Kluyveromyces lactis: one gene and its partner. The protein of the gene in region 1 purifies or fractionates together with the protein of each later gene. This does not show direct contact. Links are inferred from orthologs where the notes say so. Each region holds a gene or a part of one and is shown on either strand. Other genes may lie near its edges.

What was found.
Region 2: the proteins of PUB1 (region 1) and HSP104 purify together in Saccharomyces cerevisiae (affinity purification with mass spectrometry; 3 studies listed by BioGRID). This does not show direct contact. The link is inferred for Kluyveromyces lactis from reciprocal best matches to the Saccharomyces cerevisiae genes PUB1 and HSP104.

Annotation. Positions count from the first base shown.
Region 1 is NC_006041.1:781,212-790,336, forward strand, and holds PUB1 (Pub1p), read left to right. Parts: upstream 1-1,588; coding exon 1,589-3,016; downstream 3,017-9,125. Other genes in the region: phosphopantothenate--cysteine ligase CAB2, read right to left, coding at 1-620; ubiquitin-specific protease UBP1, read left to right, coding at 3,780-6,095; EXP1 (Exp1p), read right to left, coding at 6,240-6,671; YFH1 (ferroxidase), read left to right, coding at 7,085-7,657; PBI2 (Pbi2p), read left to right, coding at 8,064-8,294; protein geranylgeranyltransferase type I subunit CDC43, read left to right, coding at 8,711-9,125. UniProt on the Saccharomyces cerevisiae protein: May be associated with hnRNA within the nucleus and remains associated during nucleocytoplasmic mRNA transport, once the proteins are in the cytoplasm, disassembly of PUB1-RNA complexes may occur prior to PAB1 binding and formation of a translationally competent RNP complex.
Region 2 is NC_006042.1:1,663,906-1,673,707, forward strand, and holds HSP104 (chaperone ATPase HSP104), read left to right. Parts: upstream 1-4,376; coding exon 4,377-7,076; downstream 7,077-9,802. Other genes in the region: Fe-binding Fe/S cluster assembly protein ISA1, read left to right, coding at 523-1,218. UniProt on the Saccharomyces cerevisiae protein: Required, in concert with Hsp40 (YDJ1) and Hsp70 (SSA1) and small Hsps (HSP26), for the dissociation, resolubilization and refolding of aggregates of damaged proteins after heat or other environmental stresses.

The DNA of each region.
Region 1 (9,125 bases):
GACACGGCAGCCGCAAGGTAGAACAAACATCCGCTGTTATTCATCAAAGCGGCAATTGTCTTCAAAGACCACAAGTACTGGTTCACCGTTGTAAACGGCAACATCAACAACTTCTTTTCCTTGTATATGAACTGGTCATAGTCACGTTTATTTTGAAGTATCAAGTCCTTATACTTTGGTGAAATACTCCCATCCTCATCAAAATAATCCAAGAAACAAGTTTCTGTATTATGAATGAAAGGCCTGTTGAATGGAGTCAAAGAAAACTCCCTATGGAGGAATATCACAGAGTACCCATTGAATAAGAACTGCTCTGCACTAGATGCACCACGAGTTCCTGCCGAAAAATTATCGATGAAGCGAACTGTATTGTTTTCTAAGGGAACCGTAGTACCACCAGACGTCACCAGAACAATTTTCTCGCGACCTTGAGACTTCTGATACTCTATGAACTGTGTAGCCTCCGTTAACAAATCGTCCATGTACACAGGTCTGGGATTTGTTCTGAAATAGTTGTCCTCATCGCTCAGATGAGCAATTGGCAAAGCAGTTTCATCGACGGTACGGTCAATGGCCTTTGAAACCTCTGTAATCGATGTATGAATCCTTCTTCCAGTCATTATTCTAACGGCTCAATGCATACACAGTCTCAGTATATATCCCAGTATATAAACACTTTTTACTTCCATCAAGTGTTCATTACTTGTAACATTCCTATAGTAATGTAAGTGACTAATATATGATCATTTCAGTTTCTCCAAAGTTGACATGACATGAGTAGGTAGCTCAGGATTAAGGTTTTCCAACGTCCTGATACTAGCAAATTTTCGACAGTAAAATCAAATTTTCATTTTTCTATGCCGTAATGGCTTACCGGTCAACAAAACGCTATCCACTGTTCTGGTGGCTCCCCAATTCGAATCTCGTCAGTACCATACCAGTTCACCTCCAAAAGCATTCACCAATTTGCTTTTCTTATCACTATATACGAACCCAATACATCGCTCTCTTGTAAATAACAAGAAAAAAGCCAGGAAAAAAAAAACAAAACGCATCTTTCAGGTCGAACCTACACCGCGTTCTGAGTACTGTTAGAAATAAACGCTCTAGAAATTTTTCCTGCGTTTTCCTGTCCTGTTTTCCATTCGATTTCACAGAAACTCACAGTCGTGAAAATATGAAATGCTGGCGAAAACCCAGATTTTTTCACAGATTTGGAAATTGATATTTGGAAGGAAAAAAGATTCGAAGGTTTTCATTTCAATTAACATTTTGAGACACCCATTGGTAGAATTCGTGTTTATGATCTCAATTTGATATAAACCCTCTGTGTACTATTACTTGGAAGGCGATTTCAGAGTCATTAATAGCTTAAGTTTATACCCGAGGTGCCAGAAAGGATAGAGTTCTATTCTACATTGCAATTGTAACCTTTTTTATTGTTTTATTCTTTTAATCTAAGTGTGTTAAAGAAGAGATCTACATTCACTCACTCACGTATACCAGTTTATTCACTCGAGGAAGATATTGATTTATATCAGAATAGAGTTTTTTTGTTTTACGTTAAATTTGCCAACATAGAATAGCAATGTCTGCTGAAGAATCACAACAAGCACAAACTGAGACTGCAGCACCAGTTCCGGTTCCAGCTCCAGCTGTCGAACAGGATCATTCCAATGAAGCTACTACAACCGTCGAAGAGAAATCACCTGGAGCTGCTACCACTGCTCCTGCTACTGAGGAGGCACCGGCATCTGAAAAGCCTGCTTCTCAGGATAACAACGGTGACGGGGAAAAACAACAAGAAGAAGGAGATGAGGAAGATGACTCTGCCGCGCCTGTTTTGGCTACTCAAGGTGGTAGAGAAAAGTCAGATAAAATCTTATACGTTGGTAACCTACCAAAGAGCATTGATGATGATCTATTGAAACAATATTTCCAAATTGGTGGGTCCATTTCCAGCGTTAAAATTATTCCAGATAAGAACAGTCAAGAGTGTAACTATGCGTTTGTTGAATATTTCGAACCACACGATGCTAACGTCGCATACCAAACTCTAAATGGTAAGGAAGTAGAAGGGAAGGTCCTTAAGATCAATTGGGCGTTCCAATCTCAACAGGTTAACAGCGATGAAACTTTCAATTTGTTCGTCGGTGATTTAAACGTCGATGTCGATGACGCCACTTTGGCCGGCACTTTTAAAGAGTTCCCATCCTTCATTCAAGCTCACGTGATGTGGGATATGCAATCTGGTAGATCTAGAGGGTACGGTTTTGTATCATTTGGTGAACAAGATCAAGCGCAAGTGGCTATGGAAACTAAACAAGGGTTCGAATTGAACGGCAGAGCCTTAAGAATCAACTGGGCTTCCAAACGTGAACCCCAACAAAGTCAACAAGGTCAAAGAAGATTCAATGGTCCTGCCAGTGGCCGTGGTGGATTCCGTAATAACAACAATCAGAACCAAAATCACCACAATCACAACGGTATCAACAGACATGCTGGTCCACCACCACATCACCAAATGCAATCTCACCTACCCCCACAATTGCAACAGCAACCCCCAATTGGAATTCCTCCAATTCATCAAGCTCCTTTGGTTCCTCCTCCAGTGGATCCAGAAGCCGTTGAAGATATGATGAGAAGAGCTCCTCCAAGAGTTACCACTGCGTACATCGGTAACATCCCACATTTCGCTCAAGAACACGACTTGATTCCATTACTACAAAACTTTGGTTTCATCATCGACTTCAAGCATTACCCAGAAAAGGGTTGTTGTTTCATCAAATATGATACTCATGAACAAGCTGCGTTGTGTATTGTGGCTCTAACAAATTTCCCATTCCAAGGAAGAAACTTGAGAACCGGTTGGGGTAAGGAAAAACCAACTTTCATTCGTCCACAACAACAAATGGGTCCAATTCCTGGTCAACTTCCACTAGAAGAACAACAGCAACAGTTTGAAAATGCCCCTCAGCAGCATGATCAACAGCAACCTCAGCAACAAGAGCAATGAGTTCATTAAAACAAAAAAAATATTAATTGTTCCAACACTAGACATTTTTCTTCCATCCGAAATTGTCTGATTCTACATGTGATGATGACCCATTATTAACTTCCTATATATAATGATATAAACCGTTATTATTTTTTTTGTCCCCTAGATTTCTAGATCTGTCCATCATGTCCATGCATTATTATTAGATATATAGAAATTATCGTTGCCTTATGATTCTTTAGTGTGTACAAAGAGGAACGGACCTTAACGCTTACTGTCAAGTAAATTAATCCAAGTAGTACATCCTCATCTTTCTTATATAGTTTTGTTGTTAACTCTCGTAATCTTCTTTACCAGTGAACCCAAACCCATAGGCCTATACATTACATACGTCTGTGGTTCTTAAACCAAAAAAATGAAAAAAAAAAAGTTCAAAAATGTAACGAATGAAAGCTATATAACTCTGAAATTATTATAGGTTTTGCCATTGATAGGAACATACATGCCTGGAAAAGTATCAATTTTGCTGTGATAATCTGATACTGTTATTGTCAATCTGATATTCAAAGTTATCATAATCTTTTTACTGGAAATATTTTCCAATAACTGAATAGCAATAGATATTTTAAAGATCATCAAAGAGTAGGATTGTTATACGGATTAAGCTTTTTACAAATACAAAAGTGTGAAGAGAACTAGGTTTATGAAAAACCATAATCAGTTATAAAGATCCTATCAATTAATCGCTAGTCGTTTCGTTCAATTATACATTATTGTTTGTATGCTAACCACGATTTTAGAGAAGTTAGGCTTTGAAGAAAAGAGAGTTTTAAAAGCGGTACTAATTGGATTAATTGCTTCGCTATACTTCCTGTACAAGAACGAATTTGATATCACAAGAGTGGCTGTTTCTGTTGTAAGTACCACGAAAGAAATTACACAAGCAGTAAGGGATAAAATAATGCTTGGTCGATGGGCTCCAAGAAATGCGGAGCAAGAGGAGACTATTGTCAGAAGAGGTGGTTATGTTGGAGGTTTAGTGAATGACGGTAACACATGCTTTATGAATTCAGTGCTCCAATGTTTGGCCTCGTCCAAAGAGTTGCATAAATTCATGGACACTATTATCCTAGATTCTAATGATGACAGTCAAAATACAATTGATGAGAATGGAGAAGAATCAGATTTGCCTAATGAGCAATCTACTGTTGAGAAGAAGCCTAAAGCAACAAAGAATAAGACATATGGAAAGAGGAAAAAGATCGCTGTACGTCAAGCAGACAACGAGCTCTTAAAAAACTCAACAGAACCTAATATGCATTTCACATTGGCTCTTCAGGATCTATTCTCAAAGTTGAATGCGAAACATTACCGTAACAGACCATGGTTTAAGACCAACAAACTTTTGAAAACTATGTCAAAAGCTCCAAATAGGAACATCATCCTAGGTTATGATCAAGAAGATGCTCAAGAGTTTTTCCAAACTATCCTTTCAGAGCTGGAGAAGAATGTTGAAAGCATATATGGAAAACCAGAAAAGGATCCAAAGCCAGTACCACAAGATGATTTGCCTGAAGATGCAATTGTTGGACAAGAACACCTCGGCGAGATTGGTGATGTCTATATCCCAACGGAACAGATCGACCCAAACTCCGTGCTTGCATCTGGTAGGAAATTCTATTCTCCATATAAAATTGTTACTCCCTTAGATGGTATCACTGCCGAAAGAATTGGATGTTTGCAATGTGGTGAGAATGGTGGGATAAGATATTCAGTCTTCTCAGGTCTATCTTTGAATTTACCCAGTGATAACATCGGTTCCCCAATCAAACTGTCACAACTTCTTGACGAGTGGTCGAAACCTGAGATCATCGAAGGAGTTGACTGTAATCGTTGTGCATTGAACGCTGTTTTGGAACATTTAGTAGAACAACTGAACACCATCCAATCACAGCCAGATGTCAATCAAAAACTAGTAACCTTGATGGAGGATAGGATCAATGAAGTTAAATCAGTGTTGTCAAAGCTTGCCATCGATGATGATGACTATAAGAGGATGCATACTGAGAACATGGTTCGCAAATCCTCAAAGTCAAAACAAATTTTGATTTCTAGACCTCCACCATTGTTATCTGTTCACATCAACCGGTCCGTTTTTGACCCTCGCACTTATATGATCAGGAAAAATAACTCAAGAGTTATATTCAAAAGCAAATTGAATCTATCACCTTGGTGTTGCAATTATGATAAGATTAATCTTGATGCACGTCTTCCGATGTCCAAGAAGCAAGAGAACTGGCACGAATCATCCGAAGATGACAATAATGGAACTGAATACTACAATAAGTTGCATCGCAGATTTGAAAAAGAATTTGAAGACAGCGATGAAGAGGAGGATGGAAGTGATAATGGTCAAGGAATGTTCAATGGATCTTCAAGAATGGTGGAAGAGCATGATGTTTTGAATGGTGAATTAAGTTCGGCATCGTTGTCATCATCCGAAGACGATATTGCTGAAGTCGAAGAGGTGGAGTTAGATGCCCTTGGAAATACAATCGTAAAAAAGACTGCCAAAAAACCATTATTAGGTGGCAATCAAGATGTGTCTATCTCCAGAGGAAACCTCGATATAGTAGATGCCGAAGGCAACTCTGAGCAAGAAGATGATCCTGAAGATGATGATGAGGATGAAGCTTATGAAGAAGACGAAGCTGAAGAAGACGAGGAAAACTCCGAAGAAGAATCAGATGACTCCTTGCCAACACCTCCGCTTCCTCCTACACAACCAATTGTGTCCAGCGTTCCTGCCGGGCCTTTGACATATGTTTTAAGATCTGTTATTGTACATTATGGTACTCATAACTATGGTCATTACATTGCATTTAGAAGGTTCCGTGGTTGCTGGTGGAGAATTAGTGACGAAAGTGTTTACATTGTCGACGAACAAGAAGTGCTTTCTACCCCCGGTGTTTTCATGTTGTTCTACGAGTACGATTATGATACAGAAACAGGGAAGATGAAAGACGATACTGAATACGAGAATGAATTCAACGTAGAGATTGAAGGTGAACCTGCTGTTGATCAAGTAACTCATTGAATTTTATTTTGCAATTTCACGCATCTAGTTACATAGATACATAAATATCACAAATCCCCTAATATAATAGCATGTTACAATCAGAGTTTTGGAGGAGTTTGAAACGCTGTACGTAAACCTCTTTACTTGTGAGAACAAAAAGGCTCACACAAGATTTTCCTGTGTCTCATTTTCTTTACCCAAATACTGGGCATACCTTGCAGCTTCCTCTTGTTGTTGCTCTCTTAAATCCTCCGCGATCAACTCATCAACATCATAATCAAATTCAGCTTCGTCCTCATTGTATTTACCAATGACACGCTTCTTCAACCCTGTTTTCCCATCGATTTCGAACTTCCGAGTCCCAAATCCCTCACCTTCTTGTGATGAACTAACTTTAAACTTCACAGGTGCATCCTCTTTCTTCAATTTTGCATATTTTGCAAGGGATCCAGCCTTTTCCGAATCTTTGGCATCACCACTGCGTCTGGTAGTCTTCTTGTCCACTGAATATGAACCAATTCCTCCAATTAGCGGTAGTAATACAACGAAAGCTACCACTAAAAGAAACACAATTAAATATACAAATGGGTTCATTGCGAAAGGCAGTACTGACGTCTAGTTGGCACTTTTCGTCAAGAAGTTGATATTATATCTTAAGAAACAGTTGTTTCCCTTTGTATGCATAGCCATTAGCCATATAGTGTGAGTGTCGGCTCATCGATCTTTTTTTTTCAATATAGATTGTGGAAATTAGATATAAACTTAAAAGACTTGAAGGACCTTTTCAGTTGAAGTAGGTTGAGAAATCACAGTTTAGGTACGTTATTCTCTATCACGTTGAGTTCAGCATACAACATATTGAGGTGCGAAAACTGAATCAGTCCTAGTTGCTATTAGCTTGAATTAGTAAATTTACCTTGAGGCTTGCGGGAACAGACAACGTTCAAAGGAATTATTCGGAGTATTGAATTGATACAGTAGGAAAGAAATTAGAAGATAAGGAATAAATGCTAGTGAAAAATAGCTCCAGGGTCATTAGAAGCGTCATTTCCAGACGTAGTATTGTTACCAAAGCGATACCTAGCATAGGTCTCGCAAGAACTGCACCAACTAGGGCTCCTGTGTTGTCAAAACTCGGGATTTTGAATCAACATAATCTACCCTTTGTTACAGTACAGCGGATGCATAACAGTATAGCAGCATCAACAGATGGGAAAACTATCCCAGAAGAGATTCTGGATATGCCTATCGAAGTGTATCACGAAATTTCTGATGAGTTTATGGATAGCTTACTGGATCAGCTCGAAATTCTCTGTGATTATCATCCAGAAGTCGTGCAGGATGTTGAGATGTCACAAGGTGTGATGAGTATAGAAGTTCCTTCCGTTGGTACATATGTAATCAACAAGCAGCCCCCAAATAAACAAATATGGTTGGCTTCTCCGGTGTCTGGGCCCAACCGATTCGATTACTATCAAAAGGAGTGGGTTTCGTTGAGAGACGGTACGAAGTTACTGGATATCCTAAACAAAGAGCTCAGTGACCGACTAGAAGGCGACGAAATTGACCTACATTACTGAACGATGTAAATATGATCTTGCTGCTCACAAACTGCCTTACAACTATGGCATGTCCGCAGTTCACCGTTAAGGACCCAATTTCGCAGAAACAATTCAGAGATCACAATCAACCAATTTTACTCTTATTTATGTATATACTTTTGTTTGTTTCATTTATTTATACCTATAACGTCCAAAATATACCTTACTGACGCGATTGCACTTACACAGTCCCTGACTTCTTTTGTTCTTTATAGTCTATACTTTGTTGCTATATAAATGAAATCTGTTTGACTCAGTAACTTTCTCTTCTATAAATGAAATCTGTTTGACTCAGTAACTTTCTCTTCTATAAACCACATTTGATAGTCTCGGTAAAGAAGGGGTCATTCTGAGCCAGAAGCAAACAACCCCAATCATAACAATCATGACATTCAAATCGTTCATTATCACATTCAAAGACAGCGTTCCAGAAGCCGACGCTTCAAAGATCAAAAACTCCATTTCTTCTCTGGGTGGTACTATTGTCCATGACTATTCCTTAATTAAGGGATTTGCTGTCAAGTTGCCAGAGTCTCTAAAGATTGATAAATTGAAGGATTTGCACGGTGATGCTTTCGAAACTATCGAGGAAGATAAAGAGGTCAAAGCTTTATAAGCAGGGGATCATATTGAGAACGTCCGAGTCATACATGATGGTTGTTCCTTTTTTGTCCCTTTACTCAAGATCTTTGATCACTCGAAATATCGGGCAGGGCCCTTTATTCGCAAGAACAACTTTTAGATTATTACAACAAGAATAGAAAACCGGTACTGTCGAATGTCAATTAGATAACGTCTATATATTTGCATTCATATCTGTAATCTTATAACCACTTCTGGTATTCATATCAACGTCCTCTTCTACGGGATATCTCTTTTCATCTAACTGTGCTTATGTTCACCTTTTCTATTATAATGGAAAATGATATCTAAGAACATATTAAGTGCGAATCTCCAGTTAGAAAGATCGATTAAGACGGAGGATAAGACAACCAAATAGGGAATTAGAGGTGAACGGATGCTATATTTCGGATGCAAGGAGTGATGGATGATAAAAATGTGGCAAAACACATAAAATTTTGTCAAAGACATTTGCAATTGTTGCCGTCTCATCGCCTGGATATAGATCCCAATAGGTTAGCCATTGCGTTCTATTCGTTGACAGCGATTGAGCTATTGGGCAAGCCAGTGCGCAAGGACTTCCAATACAGTTTGGATTGGATTAGATCGTGCTATATTGAACTTGCTGATTACTCTGGCTTTGCCATCCCGTCTTTTAGACACGCTAAGCAATTGACTACTATAAATTTACCAAATACATTATTTGGACTAATATGTCTTATGTTGTTGGGGGATCACGAATTCTTTGATGAGAAGTTGAACCGTGATACGTTGGGCAAATTCATCTCATCTTGTCAGTTACCTGATGGGTCATTTACCTCTTTTC
Region 2 (9,802 bases), on another chromosome or scaffold:
TAACCATATCCTGACAAGTAAGAATCCTTTTCGTTTTTTGCTGACGTGAGATGACAGTTACCCGTCCCACATCCCTTACTTTTCCCCGGGATCCGAACACGGATCAAGTAGGAAACGCGCAGCGGGACTGATTCGTTGTAAACTAGTCATTCACTTTTTTAACTTGTTATGATGTATGCACAGGAGAACAGAGGATGAGAAAAAAAATTGAAAATTAGAGGATATATAACGAAACACTTATAATAAAGCATACTTTCTCCCGTTTCTTTGGTTAGATTCCAAATTTGCTAGTATCCAAATCATCAATCAACTGAAGGCAGGCCATACTCTCGCACAGGTTGTACAGAGATTACATTCTGATTCTATTATTATTTATTAGCATACAACGTTGTGGTTTTTCTACATCAGTACTTGAAATATTGATATCCATCGGGTTTGCTCCAAAAGTCCAAAGAAGGTAAAACAAAGTGAAAGTGACTTTCTCACGCAGAAGGAGCTCTATTTATCTATTGATTTCAAACGATGCAAAGACACATACTATCTAGAAGCAACCAGTGCCTGCTGCGTGGCAATGTGCTGGCAGTGAGACATCTTTCTCAAAGGCCACTGGCAAGGACTAAGAGGTTTTTGCAAACCTCTCAGAATGGGGATAAAGTGAATGCTCCAGTTTGGCCATTCAATTTTGAAATTCCAGTGAAGAACGGTAAGAGTAGTGCACCTGGTACACAGGAAGAAGCATCTGGATCTGGGACCGCAGGTGCTAAAAAGACATGGCTCACTTACTCGCTTCCTAAAAATGTTGCCAAGAAGGGGGAACCTTTACAGACCCAACCACCCAAAGTCGATGAAAATATTCAACCAAAAAAACGTGCAAAGAGAAAGCTAAGGCCACGTAAAGCTCTAATATCGTTGACGCCCAATGCTCTTTCTCATTTGAAGGGGTTGCTCGATCAACCTGAACCTAAACTAATAAGAATAGGAGTTAAAAATAGAGGATGTTCCGGTTTGACTTACGATTTGCAATATATTACTAGTCCAGGAAAGTTCGATGAAGTGGTAGAGCAAGACGGTGTGAAGGTTATAATTGATTCAAAGGCTCTTTTCAGTATAGTTGGTAGTGAAATGGACTGGGTAGATGATAAGTTGTCCTCTAGATTTGTTTTCAAGAATCCAAACTCTAAGGGTACATGCGGATGCGGTGAAAGTTTCATGGTATAATTAATGCAAGATCTTTCCATCATCATCGGCATCATTATCATCCACAACTTTGCATTGGGATGAAGCATAAATATTCATCACCTGTAAGGAGCATTGACTGTTGTCGCTTTCATCCGGATTGCCTCTGGAGAAAAATAAAGAAACTAACAGTTGACGCAACTAACACAACACTCACCCCACGTATTATTCTTCTGATAGGTTTGCTACCTCTTACTACAAGGTGTTTAGTTTGGAAAACTCATTCTAACGACATTTATTTATACAATAGCATCGGATCCTGATCTTTTTTACTAGCAGGTATTCTTTCCATTTGGGGTACGTACGGGGGCATAAAGCGTCCGGGACGCTGATGATATCCCCCGGAGGAGAATTGCTTGAATTTATTCTTTTATTCATTTGTTCAATGCGATACACCCTAAGAAATCCTCCCTCATTCAATCTCTTTCTTCCACACCAATAATACCCTTAAACACAATTACAATCATCATTATAATTCTATATGTATATTTATTGGTCACAAAAAATGCTACCTGATGTAGCTCGTTTATAACTTTTTTAACATCATATTTATTCTATCAAACCATATTCTAGCTACGTTACTTTAATTAAACGGACGTTGCGGTTGTGATTACACTAATGGGAGAGCTCTATTAATTTCGCTGTCCAAGGATATATTTGCTGTCCCAATATTAAAAAAAATACTCGAAGGTACTTTAACAAAATTAATGGACGTGCACGTCCCGCGACAGAATAAAATTCAAAATAAAAATATATACACTGAGCACAGAAACCAAGATGTGCAGTGACACAAAGGTTTCTCTTACCTATTTTCTGACATGGCTCTCTGATTCTGTATTTGTACCCCATTCCTTGTCACGCTGAAATATTTTAAATATATAAACCTCTTTGTATAGGATAAAATTACTTCTCTTTTTACCGTCACAAAAGGCACTTCTCTTATTCTACTTTACAGTATTATTACCACCTAGAAACTCTCTAAGGAACTTTTTAAATAAGCACTCGTATTCCAACCGGTTTTTTAAACAAGTCCAGGAAAACAAACTTACCAAAGTCTTTATTCAATTACACTTAAAAGAATATATCTGTCATGCAACAAAAAAAGCTAATTCCAATTTTAGTCGCTCTTCCAATAGCACTAGCAGGTGCTGATAGAGAGTCTGCGCCAGTTGTTTATGAAAATCCAGAGAAAGCCTGCTACCTTGCAGAATTTCCTCAGGTTGGCTCCGATAAGGTTGGTGGATACATCACACTTTCACTAGTCTTGATGGAATTGCCAAGGTAAACGTCAGAATATCGACTTTGGAGCCAAAGCTTCAATATCACATCCACGAAAAACCAGTTGATCCATCCGATCCAACTTGTGAGTCTACAAAAGAACACTTGAACCCTTACAATGGGCAGGTGCCATGCGGTAATGATATCTCCAAATGTGAAGTTGGTGACTTAAGTGGTAAGTACGGTAACATCGACTACAGTTATTACGAGACGGAATATTTGGATCCATACTTATCATTGATCGAGGGTGATCCCGCTTTTGTTGGAGGTAGATCAATTACCTTACATTATTCTAATGGTACAAGATATGCATGCGCTGACATTGTTCCATGTGAGAAATTGAAGCCATCTCCAAAACCACCAAAGGAAGACAAACTAAAGGAGGACGAACCAAAGGAAGACGAACCAAAGGAAGACAAACCAAAGGAAGACGAACCAAAGGAAGACGAACCAAAGGAAGACGAACCAAAGGAAGACAAACCAAAGGAAAAAGATCCAAAGGACGACACATCAAAGGACGAAAAGTCTGAGGAAGAGAAGCCAAAAGAAGATAAAAAAACCAAGAAAGAGAAGAAAAAGGCTAAGAAGGAAGAAGAGAAAAAGCAAAAGGAAGATAAGAAGAACAAAAAACATAGTGACAAGAAGAACAAAAAACATGATGATGATGATGAATACTCCGAAGCTGAACCTTCAGTGACTGAAGAAAAACGTGTTGAGACGAGTTTCACCAAGAAACCACATCACACTACCTCTGCTGCATTGAAGGAAGGTTACAAAGAGGTAAAGAACGAAACGGACACTGAATGGAAAACAGATGACGGTCACTACAATGGCACTGAGACTGATCATTCTACTGCCCTAAATGATGCTTATAATTGGAAGAGAACTTCGTCCATAGGCTCCATTATTGCTTTCATGATGTCCTTGTTAATTTGATTCAAAAACGAAAGATCATCACGCACATGAGCTGGAATATCTAGTTATACATATGTAGATCTTACAAGGAAAATAATAATATGTTGCTATCCAAAACTTGACACAATGCCAATGATATTGTCTTAATTAACGTGAATTACAAAACTGACGCCTGACATCGAAACAGAAGTGCGTTCCAAAAACCTAGCGTTAAATTTCAAAATCTATCACGTGATGGTGATCCACTTGTTCCAGTTTTTTTCTTCGGTTTTCTTTGTGGACATGCACTTTCGAGAGTCTTCCAGAAAAATCCGGTAATGTTCTAGCTATCACGGTTCCGGACTCTAGCTTAGAGCAGAGTGAATTTTAAGTAGCTTTACAATCCCCACACAGCTTCTACATTGCCGTAAGCAACATGCTGGGATAGCTGGTTGTTTGATCTAGTATTCAACTAACAATAAGGACGTACTTACAATTTTCTATTTTACGTAGCCATGAACGTCAGTCCCAACGGTAATTTAAAAGCTTAACCTTGAGTGAGTGAATTATTCGAGAATGTACTGGTTTATACTGGAAAAGTAATGTAGTTGTTAGAGCTTTGTTTGTCTGTGAATTGGGCAATACTAAAGCTGGGACTGGTACCGGGAGATAGGGGTTGAGGTATATTTTGCTTTGCTATTAGTTTTCTTAATAAGGTGATTTTAGGGTATCTTTTGATAGATGCTTATAGAAAGAATAGGTGAAAAAAAAAGTTTATAGAATATAAGCGTAGTGAAGAGGTATATAAAGGGAGACCATCCGAAGAATCATTTGTTGAGTGCTTCCTGCTTTGGAATTCAATTACATCAATTGTATCAATAGTGGTCTATCTGATAGAAATAAACAACAATTGTCAGGATCATCAAACGCATCAACAGTTTATTGTCTAGAAAGAAGATATTACTACAATGAACGACGAAACACAATTTACAAATAAGGCCAACGAAATTATCCGTTTGGCCCAGAAATTGGCTCAGGATCACAGACATGCTCAGTTACAACCAATTCACTTACTTGCTGCATTTGTTGAGCCAAACGAGGATGGTTCTGTTGGATTCTTACAAAACTTGGTGGAATTAGCGAAATATGATTATGAACCTTTGAAAAGGGCCATCAACAGAAACCTAGTCAGGACTCCATCTCAGACGCCCGCACCATTAGAAATTCAGCCAAGTTATGCTTTCGGGCAGGTCTTGAAAGATACTTCAGAAATTAGGAAACAGCAAAAAGATTCATTCGTCGGTCAAGATCATATATTGACTGCTTTGTTCAAAGATGCAACAACTCAAAGCATTTTTAAGGAGTGTTCCATTGACATAGAATCTGTGAAGCAGCAGATGCTCGAATTGAGAGGCAATCAACGAATTGATTCAAGAGACGCTGATACAAATGAAAAATGGGAATATTTGAAGAAGTATGCGATCGATATGACTGAACAGGCTAGAGCAGGTAAGTTGGATCCTGTTATCGGTAGAGAAGAAGAAATTAGAACTGCCATCACTGTTCTTGCTAGAAGAATCAAGTCAAATCCATGTTTGATCGGTGAGCCAGGTATTGGTAAGACTGCCATTGTAGAAGGTGTTGCTCAAAGAATTATCGACGATGATGTTCCACAAATTCTACAGGGTTGCAAATTATTTTCTTTGGATCTTGCTGCATTGACGGCTGGTGCCAAATATAAAGGTGATTTCGAGGAAAGATTAAAAGGTGTCTTGAAAGAAATCGAGGAATCAAAGACTTTAATTATATTATTCATCGATGAGATTCATATGTTGATGGGCCAAGGTGTAGATGATTCTGCCAATGCTGCTAATATTTTGAAACCAGCCTTATCTCGTGGTGGCTTGAAGGTAATTGGTGCCACTACCACTAACGAATATAGATCTTTGGTCGAGAAGGATGGTGCTTTCGAAAGAAGATTCCAGAAGATTGATGTCCCTGAACCAACGACAAGGCAAACGGTAGCTATTTTGAGAGGTTTACAGCCAAAGTATGAAATACATCATGGTGTTAGAATTCTAGATAGTGCCCTAGTGTCTGCAGCTCAACTAGCTAAGAGGTACTTGCCATACAGAAGATTACCTGATTCTGCTATTGACTTGGTTGATATTTCATGTGCCGGTGTCGCTGTTGCTCGTGATTCTAAGCCCGAAGAATTAGACAATAAAGAGCGCGAATTGCATTTACTACAGGTTGAAATCAAGGCATTAGAAAGAGATGAAGAAACGGATCCAACGACAAAAGAAAGGCTACAACAAGCCAGACAAAAGGAAGCTTCATTAATTGAGGAATTGGAACCAATGAGACAGCGTTACCAACAGGAAGTGGATTCTCATGAACAACTAAGACAAGCCAAAAAGAAGCTCGATGAATTGGAAAACAAATGCATGGATGCCGAACGTCGTTACGATAATGCTACCGCAGCTGATTTGAAATACTTTGCTATTCCGGATATCAAGAAACGTATTGAGGAATTGGAACAAAAAGTTGCTGAAGAAGAATCCAGGGAAGGTTCTGAAACAATGGTGAAGAACGTGGTTAACAGCGAGGTTATTGCCGAGACTGCCGCTAGAATGACCGGTATTCCAGTGAATAAACTAACTGAATCTGAAAACACAAAGTTGATCCATATGGAACGTGAGTTATCGCAACAAGTTGTGGGTCAAATGGAGGCTGTGAAAGCCGTTTCTAACGCTGTCAGACTTTCTAGATCTGGTTTGTCTAACCCTAATCAACCGGCATCTTTCTTATTCCTAGGTTTATCTGGTTCCGGTAAGACTGAATTAGCTAAGAAAGTCGCATCCTTCTTGTTTAATGATGAAAAAGCTATGGTCAGAATCGATTGTTCAGAATTGATGGAGAAACATTCAGTTTCGAAATTATTAGGTACTACTGCCGGTTACATTGGTTACCAAGAAGGTGGTTTCTTAACTAATCAATTACAGAGAAGACCATACAGTGTGTTGTTATTTGATGAAGTCGAAAAGGCCCACCCTGATGTCTTGACCGTTCTTTTGCAAATGTTAGATGACGGCAGAATCACTAGTGGTCAAGGTAAGACAATTGACTGTTCGAACTGTATTGTAATTATGACTTCTAATTTGGGTGCCCAATTTATCAATGCTCAGACTGGATCAAAGGTTACTGAGGGTTCCAAAGAGTTGGTGATGAGTGCCGTTAAAGCACATTTCAGACCAGAATTCTTGAATAGAATCTCAAGTATCGTGGTATTCAACAAGCTTTCTCACAAGGCCATTCACAAAATTGTTGATATCAGAATCAAAGACTTGGAGAAGCAATTTGCGGATAATGATAAGAATTACAAGATCAACGTTTCACCACCAGCTCGGGATTTCTTGACCAAGAATGGTTACTCGGAGGATATGGGTGCTAGGCCATTGAACAGATTAATTCAAACCGAGATTTTGAACCCAATGGCAATCCATATCTTGAAGGGTGAGATCAAAGACAAAGAAATTGTCAATGTAGAAGTGGGTGCCGATGGATCTCATTTAGAAGTTTTACCAAATCACCCAGCTTCATCAGAAATTGGTGATGAAGACATGGATTTGGACTTGGACGACGATGACGACTTAGACCTAGACTGATCTAAAATGAATTACAAAAAGAAAACATACAAACAAACTCACTCAGTAATAAAATTTCAGTTCAACAGTACCATCATATATAGTGTAAAGTACATATTTTTTTCACTTTCTTTAGTATAATATTTTGACTTTTACATGTTTTCATGTTCATAAGAGGTGCAAACCAATGGTGCTGCTGTTATTCATACAAGCGTACTAACTAAGCATTCTGGCTGAGTTTGTATTACATGTTACTTAGATGGGCAGGGTTCTTTCAGCCTTTTTCACTGATTTCCCAAGTCAGTAAGTCCAATTTTGCACATGATTCAAAAGAATTTGATTGGTCTTTCTTCAAATCATGCTTCTTTCCTCACGAATGTTAATCTTCGGCTTTTTTCCTCTTCTTCCCTCGTTCCGTGGAGTTATTGGCTGAGTAACATCCCATATACCTTTCGTTCTGGGCATCGCTAAACATGCTTGGTAAAGAGATAGACGTAGATCATTTTCCCTGAAAGGCTTCCATTATTACATGTCAAAAATTAGCAGGCAATCAGATGGACTAAAGCGTACGCTCGCATTTGGATACGAGCCTCTCTATAATTCGAAGACACACGTACCAATGTGTGGGATAAGACGCAAACGCGTCGGAAGGGAAGGAACGGAAAAACGCTTATCGGCCTCTAAGAAAGAATGCAGAAGCGAAGAAAATCCAGCACTGTAAATTCGTTTCATTTCGTAGATTCATCTCAGGTGCCTATTTTTTAGTTTGTATGCAAAAGGACATGTGTTCTCCTTGGTTTTTTTTATCTACAGAATGAAGGAGGCCGGATCTTGGCAGTAACTGTTGTTCGGATTACAAGATTGAAATGTTTCTGGCTTATTAAGAGTACAGGAACTTGAGGGTGATTTACCGGTACTTTGTTTGGTTCGATTTACTATTTTATTGATTGATTGAATTATGTCTTACAATTGCCATGGTTACCACAATTCCTATTGTGCTAACAGATACTATAATTATTATTTATTTACCTGTGCCACGCTAACTAGTTCAAGTGCGGATTTGTTTTGCATATAAGGAGAGCAACCCGTTTTTTCCCAACTCTGCCGTTGCATTTTTCCAACACCGTTTTGAGTATGAACAATGTGCCGTATTTGCATGCAAGTTAAAAAGAAAAAACAGTCAATAATGCCACTGTGGGTAAACTCATAATTGTCATGTTGCCAGGGTTTCTTTCCATACCAAACGCGTACTGGAGGTAATCGACTTTTTTTTATTCTAAATCAGGAAATTCAAATACCGTGATGCAATGCCACTACATCAATATGTACATTCCCGAAATTTCCGTTGGTGGATTCCGAACCACCTTTAGCTCCTCGTGCATGAGGCACTTACAGTCGCGTCTTGGCTGGACCCGTAGTAGTATATAGCTATCTATTCTATATATCGTATACCCGATTTTGCATTATCTTACAGCCGAGAGCCTGTGCTTACATTTCCGGTTAAACAGTTTGAGATATTAGGGTGATTTCTTTTTGTAATCGGCTGCCAAACTAAGGTTTACTCCTGATTTGAAAATGTGGACTGTTTTTGGCATTGTTTTTTCTCTAAATTCTCTTTTCTTTGCGCTTTTTTTGACATTTTCTCTGATTGTGCTGTACAGATAAGACGTTCTGAACCATCACTACAAAAAATTATGGGAAACAATTTCTATTCTGTTTACTTGAAGAGCAGGCAATATAGAGATTGCCATTCTAACTGACATCCTACTATGTTTTTTGTGAAAGCGAAAGCCTATCCATTTGCGTATATTATTGTTGCACTACTAGATTCGTGAAAGGATTATCGTGCCGTGACATATTAATGCATGATAAAAGCAGGAAAAATAGGGTCTGATCTAAAGCATAGCTGCAGTCGCCTTAGAAGCTACCGTGCAAACTAATAATAGAAAAAATCAAAGGATACTTACTGTTCGGGGTGTGCATGCGATATTGTGATACCGGATTTAACCGTCAGATTCACCACGGCATCTTTTTCTGAGGACTCCGAACATGCTCTCATTTGCAAGATGTAAATGAAAGCACAATTTCACCGAGAAATACTGTGCATCTGCTTAGCAGTGAGGCACACCGGTAAGGGTATCTCGATTTCTCACCAAGAAGATGCAGTCAAAAAATTAGTGAAGCCACGATTAGATTATGATATCTTTCCTCTTTATTTCTCTTCATTTTCATTACTCATTTGCATAATTTTGAGCCTGTTTTTACCAAGTAGTTATCGAATTCTTTCACTGATTTTTGGGCCCAAAGTCTGTAAGTATGATAAAGGTTACATCATGCTCATGTAGGAATACATTAAAAGTGGTCTTATTTCGCATTAGAAATAAACCCCCAACGCCACCATGTTTGGAATGTTTGGAGGAACATGATCCCCGCTCTCTGGAAGATGTTCACCTTTGAGGGGACTAAAGCCAGCTACGAGATATCTAAGACAAACTGCAGAAAGTATCGTACAGATTTCAGCTGTAGGCAGAAAAAATGCTGTTCGAATCCAAATGAAATTCATTGAATCTTTTTTTTTCAATCATAATTTTTTGATCTGCAGTACGAATATTTCTGCGTCAAGGCACCTTTTCACTGTACGTAAAAACAGAAACTCCTACAATTTTTCTTTGTGTTGTTAGTACTGATTTAGTCAGCACTAAAAAGACTAGATATAAAGTTTTTGCACAGTCCATGGAAATTATTTA